3 linked regions of the Saccharomyces cerevisiae S288C genome follow. The gene in region 1 interacts genetically with each later gene. Each region holds a gene or a part of one and is shown in the gene's direction. Other genes may lie near its edges.

Evidence for each region. Genes that interact genetically often act in the same process or in processes that back each other up.
Region 2: of ADE16 (region 1) and ADO1, a mutation in one rescues a mutant of the other (synthetic rescue), as found in Saccharomyces cerevisiae (one study listed by BioGRID).
Region 3: mutations in ADE16 (region 1) and QNS1 together harm fitness more than expected from each alone (negative genetic interaction), as found in Saccharomyces cerevisiae (2 studies listed by BioGRID).

What each region holds. Positions count from the first base shown.
Region 1 is NC_001144.5:196,197-204,965, reverse strand, and holds ADE16 (bifunctional phosphoribosylaminoimidazolecarboxamide formyltransferase/IMP cyclohydrolase ADE16), read left to right. Parts: upstream 1-3,650; coding exon 3,651-5,426; downstream 5,427-8,769. Other genes in the region: YLR031W (uncharacterized protein), read right to left, coding at 181-741; YLR030W (uncharacterized protein), read right to left, coding at 885-1,676; 60S ribosomal protein eL15 RPL15A, read left to right, coding at 2,376-2,990; aspartate transaminase AAT2, read left to right, coding at 6,881-8,137; SED5 (t-SNARE syntaxin), read left to right, coding at 8,494-8,769.
Region 2 is NC_001142.9:620,656-628,013, forward strand, and holds ADO1 (adenosine kinase), read left to right. Parts: upstream 1-2,925; coding exon 2,926-3,948; downstream 3,949-7,358. Other genes in the region: CTP synthase URA8, read left to right, coding at 99-1,835; superoxide dismutase SOD1, read right to left, coding at 1,895-2,359; ECM27 (Ecm27p), read left to right, coding at 4,183-6,360; LIH1 (putative lipase), read left to right, coding at 6,685-7,358. UniProt on the Saccharomyces cerevisiae protein: ATP dependent phosphorylation of adenosine and other related nucleoside analogs to monophosphate derivatives. ADO1 does not play a major role in adenine utilization in yeast.
Region 3 is NC_001140.6:243,549-251,747, forward strand, and holds QNS1 (glutamine-dependent NAD(+) synthetase), read left to right. Parts: upstream 1-2,644; coding exon 2,645-4,789; downstream 4,790-8,199. Other genes in the region: oxysterol-binding protein related protein OSH3, read left to right, coding at 1-2,024; PPE1 (phosphoprotein phosphatase methylesterase 1), read right to left, coding at 4,891-6,093; type 2C protein phosphatase PTC7, read left to right, coding at 7,553-7,607, 7,701-8,199.

The sequences.
Region 1 (8,769 bases):
GTGTTTCTAAGGCCTTTTGATAATGTAACTTTGTAGATAATTTACTTTCAAGTGAGCAATGCGCTTAGCAGTAAGGAATAATGTGTGGAAAAGTTAAGGGTTTATGACGCGTAAAATTTTCAGCCAGACGACGCGCCAACTAACATGTAAGAAAGTAATAATTTATGAAAATTTAACTACTTATTGATTACTTAATCTTCTAATACAAGTATTTTTTGTTTCTAGAATAGAATTCAATCTATTTATCCGTGCAGAAAGGTCCAGAATGAGGGGTTTTACTTCATTTTGATTTACAAAGCCTTGCTCTTCTGCAGTTAATCTTTTGGATTTCTCTCTGATTATCTCAGAAAGAAACTCTATTATCACTGAACTTTTCTTTCTTCTCTCATTTTCCAACATCAGAAAAAGCAATTCGTTGTCAGTGTCCTGCGATAAAGTTCTTAACTTTTTCTCCAGGTCTTGTCTTCTTTTGATGGACTCTCGTACCCGAAAGCAAAGATTATTTAGTTTGGCTAATTGAAAATTTCTTTCTTTAATAGCAGCTAGCTCGCCTCCTTGGATTAACTCTGATGCAGATTCAAATTTAGATTCAAAGCTCTTTTCCAAAAACTGTAAAGTGTTCCATTTATCCCTTAAGGGATCATCATGCTTTTCAAATTCAAAGGCATCTAGAACATCAGAAACCTTAGTACCATGAAAGTCGATATTGGGATAAGAAGTTCTCGTATTTAAGACCGGCATAATAGGAGTTACTGGAACTGATGTGTTTACAGATGTAAAACCATCTGTTTCACTCAACTTCTTTTCAAGTTTGTTAATATTATTCTTAGCTTCAGCCTTCCTATGCTTATTTAGTATGTTTTCGAGGCGTATAATCTCAGTGATTAATCTGTTTTGTTCCCTTTGAAGATTTTTTTTTTTTCCTTCATCGAAGCTACCTTTATATTTTGGGCTGCTGAGTCAAACCGTTCTTCGCCAGATTGCAAATCCTCTCTTTCAGTCAAATTACCACACGTACTAATCTCTAAAGGGCTATGTTCATCTTCACCCGGTTTTAACGAAACGAAGCTGTCAGAAGAGCGTTTGTTTTCCGCCAAAGAAGTGTTTTTAAATGAAGAAAGCTCAGAATTGATATTGCCCTGCTCCAACACTTGTATAGGGGGGGTCTCTTCAAAGGAGAACAGGCCATACCTTTTGGAATCTCCTTCAGGACTCTTTTCATGTTCACTAGTCAGGTTTTCTCGGACATTCTGCTCGTTAAGATTATCAACTTCACCCAGGAGGCCTTCTCCCCGGTTACGTGCCTCCGATTTTACGTCACCGATTGACTTTATGCTATTCTTTCGAGACAATGGCCTCTTTTTAAAGAAAGTACTCACTCTCTTGATTAACCCAACAGAATTTTGACACTCTTCATTTGGATGTTCCTCAAAACTTAATCTCTGTTGAGCCACATTTCCTGAATATCTTTGAGTTGAGTACTCTTTATTTTGCCAACAATCATGGATAACCGGATGCTGCGGCAAGTCCATGTCCCGAAAAGTATTAGCTACCAACGTCATCTCGACATGGGGAGCGGGCTTTGTGATCATTTGTTTTGGAATCGAATAATGGATAATCCTTTTTGGAATGATCGGTGTCTCTTGAACATACTCCATAATTTGTTCACCTTCCATCTCATATATTACATATAAGGCCACACACAGACACAAGCTGAAACGAAAATATCTATAAATATACACTTCTTAATTTGTATTCAAGATATTCTTATCAAAGCACTTATTTTTTCATTATATTTCTATATTGATTTAAGGACGGTACGCTATTTTCTTTGTACCTTTTACTATGCATAAAAAAAGGGGAAGTGTTTAACAATCGACACTTACTTAATATGTTTTGCCGCCCTTCATAAGAGGGTGTTTCTAAAATTTATTGGGCAAGAATGAGATGGACTCGCACCCTACATGACGTTTAAATATTTAGTGTTAAGGTTCAGAACATGCACCAGGTGCGACATGTGTTGCGATTATCATGACAATGTCTCTATCCGAGATGCATTTGTAGTATCAATTGATGCGTATTATGACATGATTTACATAGCATACATCGTCAAACATGATATTATATTCTTTTTTTGATAAATGTACGGATTTAAAGCTGTCGAATATATTTTCTGAAATTTCTTGGAGCTGACGCAAAATTTTCAAAGGTGCTAAAATTTTTCAAGATTTCTCACTTTTGCTTGGTAACAAAGAATGATGGCATTGCATTTTTACCACCGGTACATTTAACTGCTATTTCTCACGTTTCTTTCCCTATCCTTAAGTAATTCTTTTACAATCTAAGAAAACCACGATCAAACAAATAAATCAGCAATGGGTGCCTACAAATATTTGGAAGAATTGCAAAGAAAGAAGCAATCTGATGTTTTGAGATTCTTGCAAAGAGTCAGAGTCTGGGAATACAGACAAAAGAATGTCATTCACAGAGCCGCTAGACCAACTAGACCAGACAAGGCTAGAAGATTGGGTTACAAAGCTAAGCAAGGTTTCGTTATCTACCGTGTCAGAGTTAGACGTGGTAACAGAAAGAGACCTGTTCCAAAGGGTGCTACTTACGGTAAGCCAACTAACCAAGGTGTCAATGAATTGAAATACCAAAGATCCTTGAGAGCTACCGCTGAAGAAAGAGTTGGTCGTCGTGCCGCTAACTTGAGAGTCTTGAACTCCTACTGGGTTAACCAAGATTCTACTTACAAGTACTTCGAAGTTATCTTGGTCGACCCTCAACACAAGGCTATCAGAAGAGATGCTCGTTACAACTGGATCTGTGACCCAGTTCACAAGCACCGTGAAGCTAGAGGTTTGACTGCCACTGGTAAGAAATCCAGAGGTATCAACAAGGGTCACAAATTCAACAACACCAAGGCTGGTAGAAGAAAGACCTGGAAGAGACAAAACACTTTGTCCTTGTGGAGATACAGAAAATAAGCTGGTTGATGGAAAATATAATTTTATTGGGCAAACTTTTGTTTATCTGATGTGTTTTATACTATTATCTTTTTAATTAATGATTCTATATACAAACCTGTATATTTTTTCTTTAACCAATTTTTTTTTTTATAGACCTAGAGCTGTACTTTTATTCTGCTATCAAGCAAACCCCTACCCCCTCTTCTCAATCCTCCCCTCAGGCAGAACTTATCTACCTGTATCAAGGAGCGGACGAGGGAGTCCTAATTGTTCTACGTATACCAATGCTAGCAGCTTACATAGGTGGTGGCACTACCATAATACTTATATATAATATCTTTACGCTCAAGTAAATTTCTCCGCCGCATAAATTAACACCATGTTCTTTTTAGTCGCACCTTATTTTCTTGTATTTTTTTTCTTTCCTTTTCTTCCCGTTTTTCCTTATTAGAGCCATTAGATAAAACTCAAGAAAAGCAAAAGAGAGGGCTATTTCCACTTTAAGAATAAGCCTTAATAATTGGCAAATAGATCGTCCTTTTTTCCAGTTTTCAGCATTTGTGTTTTTTTCTTGCTCTTTTTAGCGATTAGATAACATTCAAGATCTAATCAATACCCCATTCCAAACAAAGAATCCAAATATACCATAAATAGGGACAAAAAACAAAAGAGCTAAAAATGGGCAAATATACCAAGACTGCGATCTTGTCAGTTTATGATAAGACAGGTTTATTAGACTTAGCCAAGGGATTGGTAGAGAACAATGTTCGTATCCTAGCATCCGGTGGTACGGCCAACATGGTCAGAGAAGCTGGTTTTCCGGTCGACGATGTTTCTTCAATTACGCATGCACCAGAAATGCTAGGGGGTAGAGTCAAGACTCTTCACCCTGCTGTGCATGCAGGTATTCTTGCCAGAAATTTAGAGGGCGATGAAAAAGATTTAAAAGAGCAGCACATTGATAAGGTGGATTTTGTTGTATGTAATCTATATCCGTTCAAAGAAACTGTGGCTAAAATTGGTGTTACAGTTCAAGAAGCTGTAGAGGAGATCGACATTGGCGGTGTGACTTTGTTGAGAGCAGCCGCAAAGAACCATTCCAGAGTGACTATTCTTTCAGACCCTAATGACTATTCTATCTTTCTGCAAGACCTGTCTAAGGACGGTGAAATTTCTCAGGATTTAAGAAATAGATTTGCACTTAAGGCGTTTGAACATACGGCCGATTATGATGCGGCCATTTCTGACTTTTTCAGGAAACAGTACTCCGAAGGGAAAGCCCAATTACCGCTAAGATATGGTTGTAATCCCCACCAAAGACCTGCACAAGCTTATATCACTCAGCAGGAGGAGTTGCCCTTCAAAGTGCTCTGCGGTACACCAGGATATATAAATCTTTTGGATGCCTTGAACTCATGGCCCTTAGTGAAAGAGTTATCTGCATCATTGAACTTGCCTGCGGCAGCATCGTTCAAGCACGTTTCTCCAGCAGGTGCTGCTGTGGGACTTCCATTATCCGATGTGGAAAGACAAGTTTATTTTGTGAATGATATGGAGGATTTATCACCATTGGCATGCGCATACGCTAGGGCCCGTGGTGCAGATAGGATGTCATCCTTTGGTGATTTCATTGCATTGTCCAATATTGTAGATGTCGCCACTGCAAAAATCATCTCTAAAGAAGTTTCCGATGGTGTTATTGCTCCAGGGTATGAACCAGAGGCATTGAATATACTATCTAAGAAGAAAAACGGAAAATACTGTATTTTACAAATCGATCCAAACTATGTTCCTGGCCAAATGGAATCCCGAGAGGTTTTTGGCGTAACGTTACAACAAAAGAGAAACGATGCGATCATAAACCAATCCACTTTCAAAGAAATTGTCTCCAAAAACAAAGCACTTACCGAGCAAGCCGTTATCGATCTAACTGTTGCTACGCTGGTTTTAAAATACACACAATCAAATTCTGTTTGCTACGCAAAGAATGGTATGGTTGTGGGGCTTGGGGCCGGCCAACAATCGCGTATACACTGTACCAGATTAGCTGGTGACAAGACGGACAACTGGTGGTTGAGACAACATCCAAAGGTTTTGAACATGAAGTGGGCCAAGGGAATTAAGAGAGCGGACAAGTCGAATGCGATTGATCTTTTTGTTACAGGGCAAAGAATAGAAGGCCCGGAAAAGGTGGATTACGAAAGCAAATTTGAAGAAGTCCCTGAACCTTTCACCAAAGAAGAAAGACTAGAATGGTTAAGCAAATTAAACAATGTATCGTTATCATCCGATGCGTTCTTTCCCTTCCCAGACAACGTTTATAGAGCTGTGCAGTCTGGTGTAAAGTTCATCACGGCTCCTTCGGGGTCTGTCATGGACAAAGTTGTCTTCCAAGCGGCGGATTCATTTGATATCGTCTACGTGGAGAACCCAATTCGTTTATTCCACCACTAAGTAGGGTACATTTTATGAGAAGAACAGAAACAACATATATAGCTGAATACAAGTGTATATACGTAAACGTATACGATTTACTTAATTTTCTACGTCAAAGGCCTTCCTCTTCTGCGAGAGGACAAGATGTGAATATGTGAATTATAGAGATGTCTGCAGTATGGTTTTACCCAAATGATCATGGACCAACTAGGGTCATTTCATAGTGTTTAGGAATATACTGCGGTAGGACGAACAACAAAGATGACCGAACTCAGATTTTCCCACTCTGCACCCACATCCCGCAATCTCTTCGTAATAAGGAGAAAGCTGGCCATAGGACAAAGTATAGGAAAAGAGCTCAAGATCATGCGTCCTACTTAATCTAAGTTAAACTCGTCAACGGGGCCACTTCTGTCTCATCCATATATATCATGGCAACAGCCCCCGAACCCCATATACACATCGTTAAGGCAACAGCACCCGATGCAACGACTAAGAGAAACTGCTCGTAGTCTGACGACTCAAAACTCTGATCACGAAGATCAGAGGAGAAGTCAGGAGCTGCATCTCTTATGTGATGCCGTTGTCCGAAGCGCCATCTAGATGAATACGTGAGGCCCATTGGAGGCTCCTTGAGACTCTGCCTCTCGAGCGTTGAAAAACGCTAGCCCAGTGTTTTAGAGAAGCTAAGCAGCAATAGCAAGAAATGCACACACACGTATGCGAGTGACTTCCCTTCCCTGTATAGTACCGAACTAGCACGAGACTATGGTTACTTTTTTTTTTACAAATAAGCAAAGAGAAACTTGAATGGGAAAAGAAGTTTACCATAGAAGTTAAATGCACGACGATGAGAGTTTCAAAGTGTTTATATAGGCGAGAGAATCTAAAGGAAAATTTTTCTTGAAATAAAAAAGCACTGTCAGGGTAACAATGTTAATAATAGCCGCTGATGGTTTAGGGTTACTACGCTAGAAGGACATAAAATCATTATTTACAAGAAACATACAAGGAGGCAATTTTTTAAACTCTCAATGTAGGATATTTCATTTAACTGCACTAGTGGCATCTATTATACACAATTACTCCAGTAGCTGCCACAAAGCACCCAAAGATAAGAATAATTACGGAAAATGAAATTTTTACTTTGAATATGATGATATGGGCATTGCAGGTTTGTAGTAAGAGCAATTTACAGGAATTCCTGACGGAATATTAATGTTTTCTTACTGTTTAATGCGATGTACATATTGTCAATACTAATGGTCACCACTGGAAATGGCTATCTTTCGTCTTCGTGAATAACGATCGCCGAGAGTCGGACCGAGTGAGTCAGCGTGATCGGCCTCATTTACCTTGTCGCCTTGCACGTCGGTATATAAACGTATGTGGATACTTTAAGAAGGGAAAGCGCAACCGTCCAAATTCTAATGAACAAAAGAACACAGGAATACAAGAACACAAGAGCGATAATGTCTGCCACTCTGTTCAATAACATCGAATTGCTGCCCCCTGATGCCCTTTTTGGTATTAAGCAAAGGTACGGGCAAGATCAACGTGCTACCAAGGTCGACTTGGGTATCGGGGCCTACAGAGACGACAACGGTAAACCATGGGTCTTGCCAAGTGTTAAAGCCGCCGAAAAGCTAATTCATAACGACAGCTCCTACAACCATGAATACCTCGGTATTACCGGTCTGCCAAGTTTGACATCTAACGCCGCCAAGATCATCTTCGGTACGCAATCCGATGCCTTTCAGGAAGACAGAGTAATCTCAGTACAATCACTGTCTGGTACGGGTGCTCTTCATATATCTGCGAAGTTTTTTTCAAAATTCTTCCCAGATAAACTGGTCTATTTGTCTAAGCCTACTTGGGCCAACCACATGGCCATTTTTGAGAATCAAGGCTTGAAAACGGCGACTTACCCTTACTGGGCCAACGAAACTAAGTCTTTGGACCTAAACGGCTTTCTAAATGCTATTCAAAAAGCTCCAGAGGGCTCCATTTTCGTTCTGCACTCTTGCGCCCATAACCCAACTGGTCTGGACCCTACTAGTGAACAATGGGTTCAAATCGTTGATGCTATCGCCTCAAAGAACCACATCGCCTTATTTGACACCGCCTACCAAGGGTTTGCCACTGGAGATTTGGACAAGGATGCCTATGCTGTGCGTCTAGGTGTGGAGAAGCTTTCAACGGTCTCTCCCGTCTTTGTCTGTCAGTCCTTTGCCAAGAACGCCGGTATGTACGGTGAGCGTGTAGGTTGTTTCCATCTAGCACTTACAAAACAAGCTCAAAACAAAACTATAAAGCCTGCTGTTACATCTCAATTGGCCAAAATCATTCGTAGTGAAGTGTCCAACCCACCCGCCTACGGCGCTAAGATTGTCGCTAAACTGTTGGAAACGCCAGAATTAACGGAACAGTGGCACAAGGATATGGTTACCATGTCCTCCAGAATTACGAAAATGAGGCACGCATTAAGAGACCATTTAGTCAAGTTGGGCACTCCTGGCAACTGGGATCATATAGTAAATCAATGCGGGATGTTCTCCTTTACAGGATTGACTCCTCAAATGGTTAAACGACTTGAAGAAACCCACGCAGTTTACTTGGTTGCCTCAGGTAGAGCTTCTATTGCTGGATTGAATCAAGGAAACGTGGAATACGTGGCTAAAGCCATTGATGAAGTGGTGCGCTTCTATACTATTGAAGCTAAATTGTAATGATTAAATAATACTTATACTTACCTATTACACTCTTCATATTTTTTTTAATGTAAAGAAAGTAAAAAAAAAAAAAAATAAAAAAAAGAGAAATGCTCTTTCTTTACCTTCACAGGTGTATTATTATGTTGTTGTAATATCCGGGTAGGTTTATTGATCGAGGCGAGGCGAAAGGGCATATTCGAAACAATCATTATGATAATAATGTCAATATAGAAATTGAAAAAAAAAAAAAAATCCTACCGCCGCATCGACGCTCCTGTTAGACCTTTGAACGGAAATCACCCACTCTTTACTGTATATATTTTATTCCACCTCTGTTTCCAACGACCATTTCACCATACCACACAACTCCCATGAACATAAAGGATAGAACTTCAGAATTTCAACAAAGTGTGTTGAGTTACAAGAAAAGAAACAAAAACTTTAGAGAACAGCAGAGGGAACGTCTACAAGAGAAAGAAAGTGAAAACTTTGCCAACAACACAACCGGCAATGGGAAAAGTGTCTCTGAGTTTCAAAAAAAGGCTTCTGGCATAGCTCACGAAATTTCATCCACCGCACAATTATTATCGAAATTAGCAGTGCTGGCCAAAAGGAAACCGATGTTCAATGACAACCCTGTAGAGATT
Region 2 (7,358 bases), on another chromosome or scaffold:
TTTTTTGTTTTTGAGTATTTATCTTGTATCTAACTGTCTATCTGACTAGGAATCAATTTGTAAAGTTCTAAAAAAAAATTTAAAGGCGGCTATTGAAAATGAAATACGTTGTTGTTTCTGGTGGTGTTATCTCAGGTATTGGTAAGGGTGTTTTAGCGTCCTCTACAGGGATGCTACTGAAAACCCTCGGCCTAAAGGTTACTTCCATCAAGATTGACCCATATATGAATATTGACGCCGGGACGATGTCTCCCTTGGAACATGGTGAGTGTTTTGTACTTGATGATGGTGGGGAAACGGACTTGGATCTCGGTAATTACGAGCGGTACCTCGGTATTACCTTAAGCAGGGACCACAACATCACCACCGGTAAGATATACTCCCACGTAATTTCCAGAGAAAGGAGAGGTGATTATTTAGGTAAGACAGTTCAAATTGTTCCTCATTTGACTAACGCAATTCAGGATTGGATTCAACGTGTTTCAAAAATTCCAGTGGATGACACAGGATTAGAACCAGACGTCTGTATCATCGAGTTAGGTGGTACGGTCGGTGACATTGAGAGTGCGCCCTTCGTGGAAGCATTACGACAATTTCAGTTCGAAGTTGGAAGAGAGAATTTCGCCCTGATCCATGTTTCACTTGTGCCCGTCATTCATGGTGAACAGAAGACGAAACCCACCCAAGCAGCAATCAAAGATTTAAGGTCATTAGGGCTTATTCCCGATATGATTGCCTGCAGATGCAGCGAAGAACTTAACAGGAGCACTATTGACAAGATTGCCATGTTTTGCCATGTGGGGCCGGAGCAAGTGGTCAACGTTCATGATGTTAACTCCACGTACCACGTTCCCTTATTGCTGCTAAAGCAACATATGATCGACTACCTCCATTCAAGGTTGAAATTAGGTGAAGTGCCTCTAACCTTGGAAGACAAGGAAAGAGGGTCTCAATTATTGACTAACTGGGAAAACATGACCAAAAACCTAGATGATTCTGATGATGTTGTCAAGATTGCTCTTGTGGGAAAATACACTAATTTGAAGGATTCCTACCTATCTGTGACCAAATCCTTAGAACACGCAAGCATGAAGTGCCGTCGTCAGCTAGAAATCCTCTGGGTAGAGGCAAGTAACCTAGAGCCCGAAACTCAAGAGGTGGACAAGAACAAGTTCCACGATTCATGGAATAAGCTCAGTTCCGCCGACGGAATTTTGGTTCCTGGTGGATTTGGCACGAGAGGTATTGAAGGTATGATTCTTGCTGCCAAATGGGCCCGTGAATCCGGTGTTCCCTTTCTTGGTGTCTGTCTTGGATTACAAGTTGCCGCTATCGAGTTCGCCCGCAATGTGATAGGCCGCCCAAACAGCAGTTCTACAGAATTTTTGGACGAGACACTACTAGCTCCTGAAGACCAAGTAGTCATATACATGCCCGAGATCGACAAGGAACACATGGGTGGCACGATGAGATTGGGTTTGAGGCCTACCATTTTCCAACCGAACTCAGAATGGAGCAACATAAGGAAGCTTTATGGTGAAGTTAATGAGGTGCATGAGAGACATCGTCATCGCTATGAGATAAACCCGAAAATAGTGAATGATATGGAGTCTCGTGGCTTTATTTTTGTTGGTAAGGACGAGACGGGCCAGCGTTGCGAAATATTCGAATTGAAAGGCCATCCATACTACGTGGGCACTCAATACCATCCAGAGTATACATCGAAGGTGCTGGAACCATCAAGACCGTTTTGGGGGCTTGTGGCCGCAGCCTCCGGCACACTTGGTGAAGTGATCAAGGACATAAATCTAAGCGAGGGAAATGAAAATGAATGAATTGATGCGCTTACTACTTACTTACATACGGTTTTTATTCAAGTATATTATCATTAACATTAGTTGGTTAGACCAATGACACCACAGGCTGGTCTTGGACCGGCATTACCAGTCTTCAAAGATTCTTCAGTGTCACCCTTACCTAAGTCATCTTGGCCGGCGTGGATAACGACGCTTCTGCCTACAACGGAGGTAGGACCGATAAGCTTGATCAAAGAGTCCTTGAAGGAGCCCTTGGCCACACCATTTTCGTCCGTCTTTACGTTACCCATGTCACCGACATGTCTGACTTCGTCAGTTGGAGCACCATGTGTCTTCTTGAAAGGATTGAAGTGAGGACCAGCAGAGACACAACCATTGGTGGCATCTCCAAACTCATGAATGTGGAACCCACGTTCTGCGTTAGGACTGTTACCAGCGATCTCGTAAGAGACAGTGGTTGGCTCGGATTCGGAAGCCTGTTCGAACTTGACAACACCAGAGACACCGGCATCACCCTTTAACACTGCGACTGCTTGAACCATTATAAATTAATTATGTTTTATTTGTTTGCGCGATTGCTTTCTTGCCTGTTTTTCCGCAACATAGTTACAGCTAAACATTTGCCCAAAACCATCTTCTTATATATATATCTGCGATGGCGAGCCCAGCGGAAGGGATGTCCGCTTACTAATTCCGACACACCGGTTTAACCCCCCGGCGTGCTGGGGTGGGTGCCCCTAAGGGAGCGGGTTCTGTACTTCCAGTAAGCGGCATTTGCGCTGTCATCGCCTTATCGAACCCGCTACTGAGATCATGTCCTGAGTGGGTGAGTCGCACGCCCAATCGGCTGCACTTCAGAGATACTTACGTCCAATTTCGCATCATGCCAATATTACCTGTGGAAGTTGAAACTTTTTTTGCAGATGCCGATAATTTTCACATGGATGAGTCGCAGTGTCGTCGTACGTGATGAGGGCAGGCTTGAAAATTATTCTTCGAGCCCAATTCTCTTTACTTATAGGCATGCCATGTCTAATTAGGTAGTCATCTCAGTTTATCTTGTGCAGGGTAGAACCAAAGATAACAGCAAAAGAAAGAGCAAGCAATTATGACCGCACCATTGGTAGTATTGGGTAACCCACTTTTAGATTTCCAAGCCGACGTCACGGCTGAATACCTGGCCAAGTATTCTCTAAAGGAAAACGACGCAATTTTGGTCGATGCCAAATCAGGCGATGCTAAGATGGCTATTTTTGACGAGCTCTTACAGATGCCAGAAACAAAGCTTGTTGCAGGTGGTGCTGCTCAAAACACTGCTAGAGGGGCAGCATACGTTTTGGGCGCCGGCCAGGTGGTGTACTTCGGTTCCGTCGGTAAGGACAAGTTCAGCGAGAGATTGCTTAACGAAAACGAAAAAGCTGGTGTCAAGTCTATGTACCAAGTTCAAAATGATATTGGTACCGGTAAGTGTGCCGCATTAATCACTGGCCATAACCGGTCCTTGGTCACTGACTTGGGTGCTGCCAATTTCTTTACTCCAGACCACTTGGACAAGCATTGGGACTTGGTCGAAGCAGCTAAGCTCTTCTACATCGGTGGTTTCCACTTGACCGTGTCTCCAGACGCTATCGTTAAGTTGGGCCAACATGCTAAAGAGAACAGCAAACCTTTCGTGTTGAACTTTAGTGCTCCTTTCATTCCTCATGTCTTCAAAGACGCATTGGCCAGAGTTTTGCCTTATGCTACCGTCATCATCGCTAACGAATCGGAGGCCGAAGCCTTTTGCGACGCCTTCCAATTAGACTGTGCCAACACTGATTTGGAAGCTATTGCTCAAAGAATTGTCAAGGACTCTCCAGTTGAAAAGACTGTCATCTTCACCCACGGTGTCGAACCAACAGTGGTCGTGTCCTCCAAGGGTACCAGCACATATCCAGTCAAACCTTTGGACTCTTCTAAGATCGTCGACACCAACGGTGCTGGTGACGCCTTCGCTGGTGGCTTTATGGCTGGGTTGACTAAAGGTGAAGATTTGGAAACCTCTATTGACATGGGTCAATGGCTAGCTGCTTTGTCTATTCAAGAAGTTGGTCCCTCTTACCCTTCCGAAAAAATATCTTACTCTAAATAGATTCTTCTTACAATATAATAGAAATAAAATATACTCTACGTGTTCCCTCTAGCTTTTCATTCGTAGACATGTTTACCGCTTGTTCTTAAACCAAATAAGCCACCGTTACCACAATAAGGAAAAGAGGCGCTATAAAGTACAGCTTCAAGAAAAAAGGACAAGCAGCGCTAAGAACAAAATACTCGTTCATCCTCTCCACATACGGCCGTACACAAGCAACAATAACACAATAATATGGACTGGGCAATCAATGTCGCCCATCCACGATTACTTTACAAGGATCCTAAACTTTCAGTAACGTTTATTGTGCCGAGCTTATTTCATATCATTATTGCTTTCGTGTTATTAGGAATATGTGCATCCGATTTTCTTTGCCCCAACGTGGCCCATATATCAGATCCCAACAGCCTTCGATCGAATGGTTCTTTAGTCTCAAAAACGGCGTCCCATGCATCTCATACTGGGGCATTAATGGCAGTTCTACTATCTTGGTGTAACTCTTCGCCTGACCTATTTTCCAACTTAATGAGCTGGGCAACCTCTACGAGAGAAACAAGGTCAACCTCAGTATCGCTATCAATTGGTGAGGTGCTTGGCGCTTGCGGCATTATCCTGTGCATTGTAGAGGGCTCCATTTTTATTATTATGTCAAGAACTCACATTGAAATCTCGCAAATTCAAAAACTATCCATCATGAGAGACTTGTTATTTTCTTTAGCTGCCATGTGCGTAATGAGTTACGTTTCCCTTATGAATCAGGTCACTGTGCTGAATTGCCTTTTGATGGCGTTCCTTTATGCCTTTTATCTAGTCGTTAAGTTAACTTTCAAGCTTAATCATTCTGCAGAAACCCCAGATGAAACTGCTGCGGATACGAGCCTCAGAGAAAACTCCGTTTCTCCTTTTTTGGATGACTCTCTGATGGCTTCTGGTTTACTACCACCAATACAACCTGGCTTTGACATATCCAATTCTATAACACACGGCATTAAGCCTAGTTTGCTATCTGCTATGGATTTCAATAGTTTCTTATCAATGCTTGAAAACTCATCTTTGGAGGAGGATGACTCAAGGAATGAAATGGCAGAATTGAACACTCTACGTAGCATGACGCCGGGACAACATTGGTCCGCCTCTGCAACAGTTGCAGGAGAGGCAACGAGTGCTGGAAGACCTTTCAGTGAGCCAACGAATGCGTTTACGGAATATAGAGATTCTGAAAGAGCAATAAATAGTTCCCCAGCGGTGTTCGCCCCCTACCGTGACAACCCTGATGATGAAGAGTCTCAAGAGCAAGTATTATTGGAGACAACAACGCATGGTCATTTTGGTGCGCAAGAAATGCGAAGGTTCTCCAAAAGGTCTCTGGGCTGGATTATAAAAATTTTCATACCACATCTCTCAAATTTTTCCCAGAAATCCATCTCAGATGCGATCTTTTCCATAATAACTGTTCCGTTTTTCATTATTTTCAAACTATCATGTCCTCAACCGCCTTCAGATATTTTGAGTTATGATCCCACTTTGAACAGATACTCTTTAACAACGTTACCCATAATTTTATTATTTATCCAATCAATTACTGCACCCTTCCTCCTTTGCAGTATACTTTCTGTGCTTTTGACATATCATCTAGGCTATCTCGTTTACCTTTTCCCTCTTATATTAGCTATGGCCTTAATTTTACTATTGACGGCTTTTATTACAAAGGTAAATCTGCATAACAAGTTTACTCTGTCATTAGACAGCTCTAACATTTTACAGGAAAAGCTACAAAAAAGAAAACTCCTCGAAAGGCTTAACACAAGCATCCAAATAATTTTTCTAGCTATCGGCATAATAAATATCATAATTTGGATATCACTTTTAGCCAATTCTCTTATTGAGATGATGGAAATTTACCAAAAAATATTAGGATTATCGAAAGCTATTTTGGGCCTTACCATTTTCGCATGGGGCAACTCAGTAGGAGACTTGATCTCCAACATATCTATGTGCAGGCTCTACAAAACCCAAACTCACTACCAAGACAGAGTTCGTTTAGCCACAAAATTTTTTATGATATCATGCGCATCTTGCTTAGGAGGCGTAATGCTGAATTCTATGGGTGGAATAGGCTTTAGTGGGCTAGTATCAATGCTTTTTATTGGCGCTTTTAATGATAACGAATGGTGGTTCCTAAGAAAGGTTAAATTACAAGAAACAAGTCAATTGGATAATACATTAAATTACAAATTCATAGTTTCTTGCGTCTTCATTATCCTACAGATTATTCTCTTGCTGTTATTCTTCGGAGGGCCTAACAATATTAAACGGCGCCTCACAAAGGAGATGAAGTTAGTCGGAATCTCTATGTGCGGACTATGGGCACTAGCCACGTTGATTAATATACTTCTAGAACTGTTTAGCTAAAGCTTGCAAGAGTGCCTCCCGAAAAATTTGTTTTTGTGACATTTATCTGGCGCCGTAACAGATCCGCGCAGAACACAGAACACCAAGAAAAGAAGTACTATTTAATTTCAAGATTACTTAGACTCCGTCATTCAAATCGCCCTTTTATTCAAACAAAAATGGGCCATATATTCTTTCTGTCTCAACCTTCGTTTCCTTGGATGAATTATTTTGATTGAGCTCCAAAAAAAAAGTTGTAGCCAGGAACTATCCAAAACTTCGATTGAGAAACCCATAACAATGATGCCTGCCAGACTTTTCATACTATATCTTTTTGTAGTACTCATGCCTGTTGTTCATTGTTCGTCCAACCTGCCCATCACTCCATATATCTATGAGCGTCTAGTATATTTTATTAAGGCAAGCTCTATATCAAGCTGCATATCTGACAACTTACTTCTTGTTAATAAAACCTTCAACGACGGAGGTTGTCCACCACATATTAACTTCTGCAATGATGAGATAATTAACCCAACAGCGGGTCAAACAGTGGTTGAATTAGTTCTTAATGCAAAAAAAGGTGAATTAGGCTCGGGTTATCTGGCTGTTGACCACGGAAAAAAGGTTGTTATTTTAGCATTTAGAGGATCCACAACAAGACAAGATTGGTTTAGTGATTTTGAAATATATCCTGTTAACTATTCTCCCCTTTGCGTTAAGGAATATCGTAAGCTTATAGAGGAAGGAAAAATCAGAGAATGTGAAGGTTGTAAAATGCATAGAGGATTTCTAAGGTTCACAGAAACTCTCGGGATGGACGTCTTTAAAAAAATGGAGTCGATTCTGGAAAGCTTTCCGGAATATAGGATCGTTGTCACTGGGCACTCCTTGGGGGCAGCATTAGCAAGTTTGGCTGGGATTGAATTAAAGATAAGAGGCTTTGATCCGTTAGTGCTGACATTCGCAACACCAAAGATATTTAACAGTGAAATGAAACAATGGGTAGACGAGTTATTTGA
Region 3 (8,199 bases), on another chromosome or scaffold:
CGTCCACTTTGGAAGAAAATCCCGACATTCTTGACGATGACAAGGAAGTAATTAATAAAAGCTCACCTCAAGACCACGACCACCTCACGCCCACGGCTACGACCAAAAGTGCACTATCACATAGACAGCATACTCAGAAAGACATGGATGACATATATGTCCCATTGCCCAGCGAATCTTACGCTACTTTCTCCATGAATCTACGTTTGATTCAACAACGACTGGAGCAGTGTAAAAAAGACTCGTTATCTTATAAACCAACTACTTTACATCAAAGATCGGAGGGGCTAAATGGAACACATTCGTCATCTTCCGTCTTTACCAATAATAGAGTGTCTTCATTCAATCATTCTTCTTCTGGTATGACGTCATCTGATTCTTTAGCCTCTGAAGAGGTTCCTTCCAACAAAACATATATTGAGCATGCTTTATATAACCAATTGGCAGATCTTGAAGTATTTGTTAGCCGGTTCGTTACACAGGGAGAGGTTTTATTCAAGGACCACCAGATCCTGTGCAAGAAAGCAAAAGACACGAGAGTTTCTTTAACTTCATATCTTAGCGAGAATGATGAATTTTTTGATGCAGAAGAGGAAATCAGTCGGGGAGTCATTATATTACCTGACACAGAAGATGATATTAATAATATAGTCGAGGAAACTCCCCTTCTTGGTAAAAGTGACCAAAATGAGTTCACAAAAGAGGTCCAATTGTCGGGATCCGAACAGATAGCTTCATCAAGTGTGGAGAGCTATACAACTAACGATGAAAATCATAGCCGTAAACACCTCAAAAATCGTCACAAAAATCGTCGCCGTGGCCACCCTCATCATCAAAAAACCAAAAGCGCCCAATCCTCAACAGAAACATTTACAAGTAAGGATTTGTTTGCTCTTTCCTATCCAAAGAGTGTTACACGCCGTAATGACATACCTGAAGCTGCAGCTTCTCCGCCAAGCCTATTATCTTTTTTGAGAAAGAATGTAGGCAAAGATCTGAGCTCTATTGCCATGCCAGTAACCTCAAATGAGCCTATTTCTATTTTGCAGTTGATATCAGAAACATTTGAGTATGCTCCACTTTTAACGAAGGCTACCCAACGTCCTGATCCTATAACCTTTGTTTCTGCATTTGCTATTTCCTTTCTTTCCATATATAGGGATAAAACAAGAACGCTAAGAAAGCCTTTTAATCCTTTACTGGCTGAAACATTTGAACTTATACGAGAAGATATGGGGTTTAGGCTTATATCGGAAAAGGTCTCACATCGTCCTCCAGTATTTGCCTTCTTTGCAGAGCATCTCGACTGGGAGTGTAGTTACACTGTAACGCCATCGCAAAAGTTTTGGGGTAAGTCTATTGAATTGAATAACGAAGGTATACTGAGATTGAAGTTTAAGACAACTGGAGAACTATTTGAATGGACGCAACCAACAACTATTTTAAAAAATTTGATAGCGGGTGAGAGATATATGGAGCCTGTCAACGAATTCGAAGTACATTCTTCGAAGGGAGACAAATCACACATCCTGTTCGATAAGGCAGGTATGTTTAGTGGAAGATCTGAAGGATTTAAGGTTTCGATAATCCCACCACCTTCGAGCAATCGCAAGAAGGAAACTCTAGCTGGTAAATGGACACAGAGTTTAGCTAATGAAACTACACATGAAACTATATGGGAAGTAGGTGATTTAGTTAGCAATCCGAAGAAGAAATATGGCTTTACTAAATTCACCGCAAATTTGAATGAGATAACTGAAATTGAAAAGGGCAATTTACCACCTACGGACTCAAGATTAAGACCAGATATTAGAGCTTACGAGGAGGGAAATGTTGATAAGGCGGAAGAGTGGAAGCTGAAATTGGAACAACTTCAACGTGAAAGACGTAATAAAGGGCAAGATGTGGAGCCTAAATATTTCGAAAAAGTATCTAAGAATGAATGGAAATACATAACTGGACCGAAGAGTTATTGGGAAAGAAGAAAGAAGCATGATTGGTCTGATATTTCTCAACTCTGGTGAATGCCTTGATGACATCAAGTGAACTTTTTTCCCCCCTTTGTACTCTATTTATTTTCCATCTTTAATGATCATCCACACAAATTACTTGTATATGCGTTCATGTATAGTATACTATATACAACATGAAGGACTTTATAAATTCTTGATCAATCTTTCACACTAATTTTATATTAACAGTTCTACACTATTTTTGTTTGCTTGACTGTAAAAACATTCTATTTTATGATTAGTTGCAAAACTTGAAAAAAACAATAGAATTTCATCACATAATTGAAAGATAATGAACTCTTTCAGTCAGTTAGATCCATGTTTTTTGAAGAAAAGTTTACGAACACAGGATCTTACAAAAGGTGCCTAAATTTGGAATTGAAAGTCTATTGCTATCAAAACTTGTCAAAGATAACATAGCTTGGAACATCTTATCCTTTATATGTCCTGCTAAGTCATATCAAGAGGCCCCAATAGTTTCGTCGAAAAAGATAAAGAGGAATATGGAAGGGAAATATAAGATTATCAACTGGTTACCTCAAAATAGACTATATGCTCACATCATCAATTGATATTGCTTGTAAAAATACCCCCAAATACCCTGGCATTCTTTTTTTGACTCCCTGCCAGTAATGTCACATCTTATCACTTTAGCTACATGCAACTTGAATCAATGGGCCCTAGATTTTGAAGGTAATAGAGACCGTATCCTACAGTCCATTAAGATTGCCAAAGAGAGGGGTGCCAGGTTACGTGTCGGCCCAGAACTGGAAATAACTGGCTACGGATGTTTAGATCATTTTTTAGAAAATGACGTTTGCCTTCATTCATGGGAAATGTATGCTCAAATCATTAAGAATAAAGAAACCCATGGATTAATACTTGACATTGGTATGCCCGTTCTACACAAGAATGTTCGTTATAATTGTCGTTTGTTATCCTTGGATGGTGAGATATTGTTCATAAGACCTAAGATTTGGTTAGCTAATGATGGTAACTATAGGGAAATGAGATTTTTCACACCTTGGATGAAACCTGGCGTGGTGGAGGACTTTATCCTTCCACCTGAGATTCAGAAAGTTACCGGCCAGAGACTTGTGCCATTTGGGGACGCTGTGATAAATTCATTGGATACATGCATTGGTACAGAAACTTGTGAAGAATTGTTTACACCTCAATCCCCCCACATCGCCATGTCTTTAGATGGTGTGGAAATCATGACAAACTCATCTGGTTCTCATCATGAACTGCGTAAGTTAAATAAAAGGTTAGACCTAATTTTAAATGCCACTAAACGTTGTGGTGGTGTTTACTTGTATGCAAATCAAAGAGGTTGTGATGGTGACAGATTATATTATGATGGCTGTGCACTAATTGCCATCAATGGTACAATTGTAGCCCAAGGTTCACAATTTTCGCTAGATGATGTGGAAGTAGTTACTGCTACTGTGGACCTAGAAGAGGTGAGGAGTTATCGTGCAGCTGTCATGTCTCGTGGCCTACAAGCCTCCTTGGCAGAAATAAAGTTCAAGCGTATTGATATTCCTGTAGAATTGGCTTTAATGACCTCCAGATTTGATCCTACAGTGTGTCCAACAAAAGTCCGCGAGCCTTTCTATCACTCTCCTGAGGAAGAAATTGCACTGGGACCTGCTTGCTGGATGTGGGATTATTTAAGACGTTGTAACGGAACAGGGTTTTTCCTTCCCTTATCTGGGGGCATTGACTCTTGTGCAACTGCAATGATTGTCCACTCTATGTGCCGTTTAGTGACCGACGCTGCTCAAAATGGAAATGAGCAAGTTATCAAAGACGTTCGTAAGATAACACGTAGCGGCGATGATTGGATTCCAGACAGTCCACAGGATCTAGCCTCAAAAATATTTCACTCCTGTTTCATGGGTACGGAAAATTCATCCAAGGAGACAAGAAACAGAGCAAAGGACCTTTCCAATGCAATTGGATCTTACCACGTGGATTTAAAGATGGACTCATTGGTATCCAGTGTGGTGTCCTTATTCGAAGTAGCCACTGGCAAAAAACCAATATACAAAATATTTGGGGGATCTCAAATCGAGAACTTGGCTTTACAAAACATCCAGGCGCGTCTAAGAATGGTTCTTTCTTATCTTTTTGCGCAACTGTTGCCGTGGGTTCGTGGTATCCCAAACTCGGGTGGATTGTTAGTACTTGGTAGCGCAAATGTTGATGAGTGCTTACGTGGGTATCTAACAAAATATGACTGCTCCTCCGCAGATATCAACCCTATTGGGGGTATTTCAAAAACTGACTTGAAAAGATTCATTGCCTACGCATCAAAACAATATAACATGCCAATCTTGAATGACTTTTTAAACGCTACACCAACTGCAGAATTAGAACCTATGACTAAAGATTACGTTCAATCGGATGAGATAGATATGGGGATGACGTATGAAGAATTGGGCGTGTTTGGTTACCTAAGAAAGGTTGAAAAATGTGGTCCTTATTCTATGTTCTTAAAACTTCTTCATCAATGGTCCCCAAAGTTAACACCTCGTCAAATATCTGAAAAGGTGAAAAGATTTTTCTTCTTCTATGCCATCAACAGACACAAGCAAACTGTTTTAACTCCTAGTTATCATGCTGAACAGTATTCACCAGAAGACAACAGATTTGACTTACGTCCTTTCTTAATCAACCCAAGATTTCCATGGGCTTCAAGAAAAATTGATGAAGTTGTCGAGCAGTGTGAAGCACATAAAGGCTCAACGCTTGACATTATGTCTATTGATTAGCACAGAAGAAGTGCTCACAGCAAAATAAGACTTTTCCACGAGTTCATATATTCTGTTATTTATTCTATCATAAATAAAGATATAAAAGTGATATTTAACCCTTATGTATTTTGCACGGTTTTGTGTTGACCCCAATTAGTCTTGATTACTACATTCCTAGAATCGTTCCGCTTCCAGAAATCAATTAAAGTGATTGCTGTTTTTATAGGCGAATCTTCTTGAATGAAATGCCCGGAATCTTGGAAAACTACCAACTGATATTTACCTTGCATTTGCCCCACAATTAATTCTTTATCGAGATTTTCGTTTCCCGCCAATATTAATAATTTACTAACAGGTAAGCCAACAAAGGAGTGCGACAGATCGGTAAACCATGTGTCCCAGAAAGGGCTAAAGGTCTTAAGGTTTGTTATCCTGACAACTTTCCCTGACTTGAGCGGAGCAAATAAAGCTGGTATAGCAATTTCGGCGCTTGACCTCAATCTCGATAACGCGTGTTGAACGTGCCAATCGACAGCGTCATTAATTGATTCAAATACATTGGGTGTATTCTGCAAAAAATGTTCAACTTTATTTAAGGCCATAATGGCAGCCTCTTCTACAATATCTAACATAGTAATACCAAGAATTTTCTTTTGTAGTTCTGTTGATAATTTAGGGTACGCAAAAGTACATATACTTCCACCAAGGGAATGACCAATTAGTATAACAGATACCTTCTGAAGTGGCTCTTGGCTTATTTTAGACTTAAACCAATAATTTAGCAGGCTTACAAAATCTTTGATAAAAGAGTCCCTGTCAAAGCATATAGGCGCATCAGCCTTCTTAAACTTTGTTTCTGCATGCCCCCTAGCATCAAATGCAAAGCATCCGCATCTTCCTTCTAGTTTAGTATTTAATTCCTTGGCCAAGTTTGCAAATGATAAACCTGAGGAGCCCGCCCCATGGTGGAAAATAAAGATGGGAATTGAAGTGGTATTTGATAACAATGAAGTAGGTAATGTATAGTATGTATTTACGTCCAGATCTCTATCAGGAAGACTTACCAACTCCTTATTATCAAAAAAATCACTCCAAGTGGGTAAACTACTCTTTTCCTTACTTGAAATTCTATCAGTAGTACTACCGGTTTTGCCCGTATATTTTCTGTTCCTATTTGATTGTCCATTAAATGATGGCAGGGAACCTAATGCATCACCATCGTTTTCATCATCCTCGTATGCTTCTTGGAATGTCGCATCTAGAACATTCTTGGCTCTCTCAAACTGGGATAAAGCAATTTTTCTTCTCAAATCGTCAGACATTGAAAATTTGAAAATGTCCTACCGTTACTACCAGTTTGTTGCCGTATTTTTGACTCTTTGTTGAGCATTAGTTGATCATTACCGCTGCAGTCAGTTAATGATATCCCTAAATAGGCATATTGTACAATTTCAAATATATTACCCGAATTACAAGAACAATAGGGTCTTCTACAATATTACTATGAACAATTCATAGGGGAACATAGTCCACTTCAATGTCGGTGCCAACGATTCTATTTGTTGTAAGTATATATGCTGTTTCCCGGCAATACTTTATATTGGGGGAATTTTCTGGAGGTTTAAGGGCATATTACTACGTCAAGGCTGGGATTGACCTTCTGGTATATATTACGTTGCGCAGGACATTCCTTATACTTGAGCCTTTGTAAAAACTTCTTCGTTCTCCTGACCAACCGTTCAATTATGTTGTGAATTTTTTGATCCGAGTTTGAAACATCCAAATTCACAAACAAACCGTTGTCATCCTGAGTTGGCGTCGGCCATTGAGCTTCCTCTATGTGTTTTAAATCTTTCATTTTAAGAAATCTAAGTAAGGAAATTGTTTCTCCACATGTGTACCGTATAAAGTTCTTGTTATGAATTAGAAGGATTATCACAAAAGCCCTCCATCAAATCTGATAATTTCATTACCCAAAGACTGTAATACCTTGGGTGTAAAGATCGTATTTTTTGATGTCTTCGTGATATTTTGCAGATCTTTCCATTTTATAAATTTCTGCAAATATCGTGCATCAGCTCATCTTGGAATTGGCACAATCTGCGTAATTTTTTTCTTGGTTCTCTTCTCCTTTTGATTTTAAGAGCGCTTTCTATTCAGTAGCAGATTTTCAGTAAATAAAGCCATCTTTCTCAAGTAAACTCATGATCATGCAGTTGTTCAAAATTACACCAATAACGATGTTATCTTTAAAACTTTCCCCAGAAAGAAGATGGCACTTTTGCACTAAATACTTCAAACTATTTAACTTTGAAGCAGGACATATTGCCGGTTATTTGACCATGCTGGCGCCGTTGACATTCATGTAAGCAGTATTAGCTTTTAAACTGCCATTAACGCACCTATACGATTGCGGCGGTGCGAAAACAGTAACTAGCACTCTTACGGCTCATTGTTTCCTCTATCCAAAGTTGCCTATATCACAATAAAATTAGAAATTAATCATTTTAATAAGCTTGCTGCCATTCAGTGACTCGCAATCTACGTTTTAAACGTAATTTAAAAATCCACTTCCACCTACATATTTTGCAACAGTCGTACGACAGAAACTGAGGCTCTATAAAATGAGATGTGCTAATTGTTCTTTCTTGGCTGGTTTCAGCTACATCTTTCTGTAATCAATCTACAAATTTACACGCGAGCTTCATTTTGACAGTAAACAAATGTAAAAGACACATGCAATAAAAGCGGTCCAGAAAACAAACGACAAAGCCACCAAAAATGTTTGCAAACGTTGGATTTAGAACTTTGAGGGTCTCGAGAGGTCCCCTTTATGGTATGTTTATTGTTTTATTCATTGGTGTGCTAATTGCTAAATTTGCGGGACAAATGCTAATCGACTCAGAGACTAACTTTTCTCATATCATAGGATCCTGCAGTCAAATCATCAGCTTTTCCAAGAGGACTTTTTACTCAAGTGCCAAGAGTGGGTATCAATCGAACAACAGTCATGGTGATGCGTATAGTTCAGGTAGCCAATCAGGCCCGTTCACCTATAAAACCGCGGTAGCTTTCCAACCAAAAGACAGAGACGATCTGATATACCAAAAACTAAAGGATTCTATTAGATCACCTACAGGAGAAGACAACTATTTTGTTACATCAAACAACGTTCACGATATTTTTGCCGGTGTCGCAGACGGTGTTGGAGGATGGGCTGAGCATGGGTATGACTCCAGCGCCATCTCAAGAGAATTGTGTAAAAAAATGGACGAAATAAGCACTGCTTTAGCAGAAAATTCATCCAAAGAAACGCTTTTAACGCCAAAGAAAATTATTGGTGCTGCATACGCAAAAATTAGGGATGAGAAAGTAGTGAAGGTTGGTGGGACAACAGCCATTGTGGCTCACTTCCCATCTAATGGAAA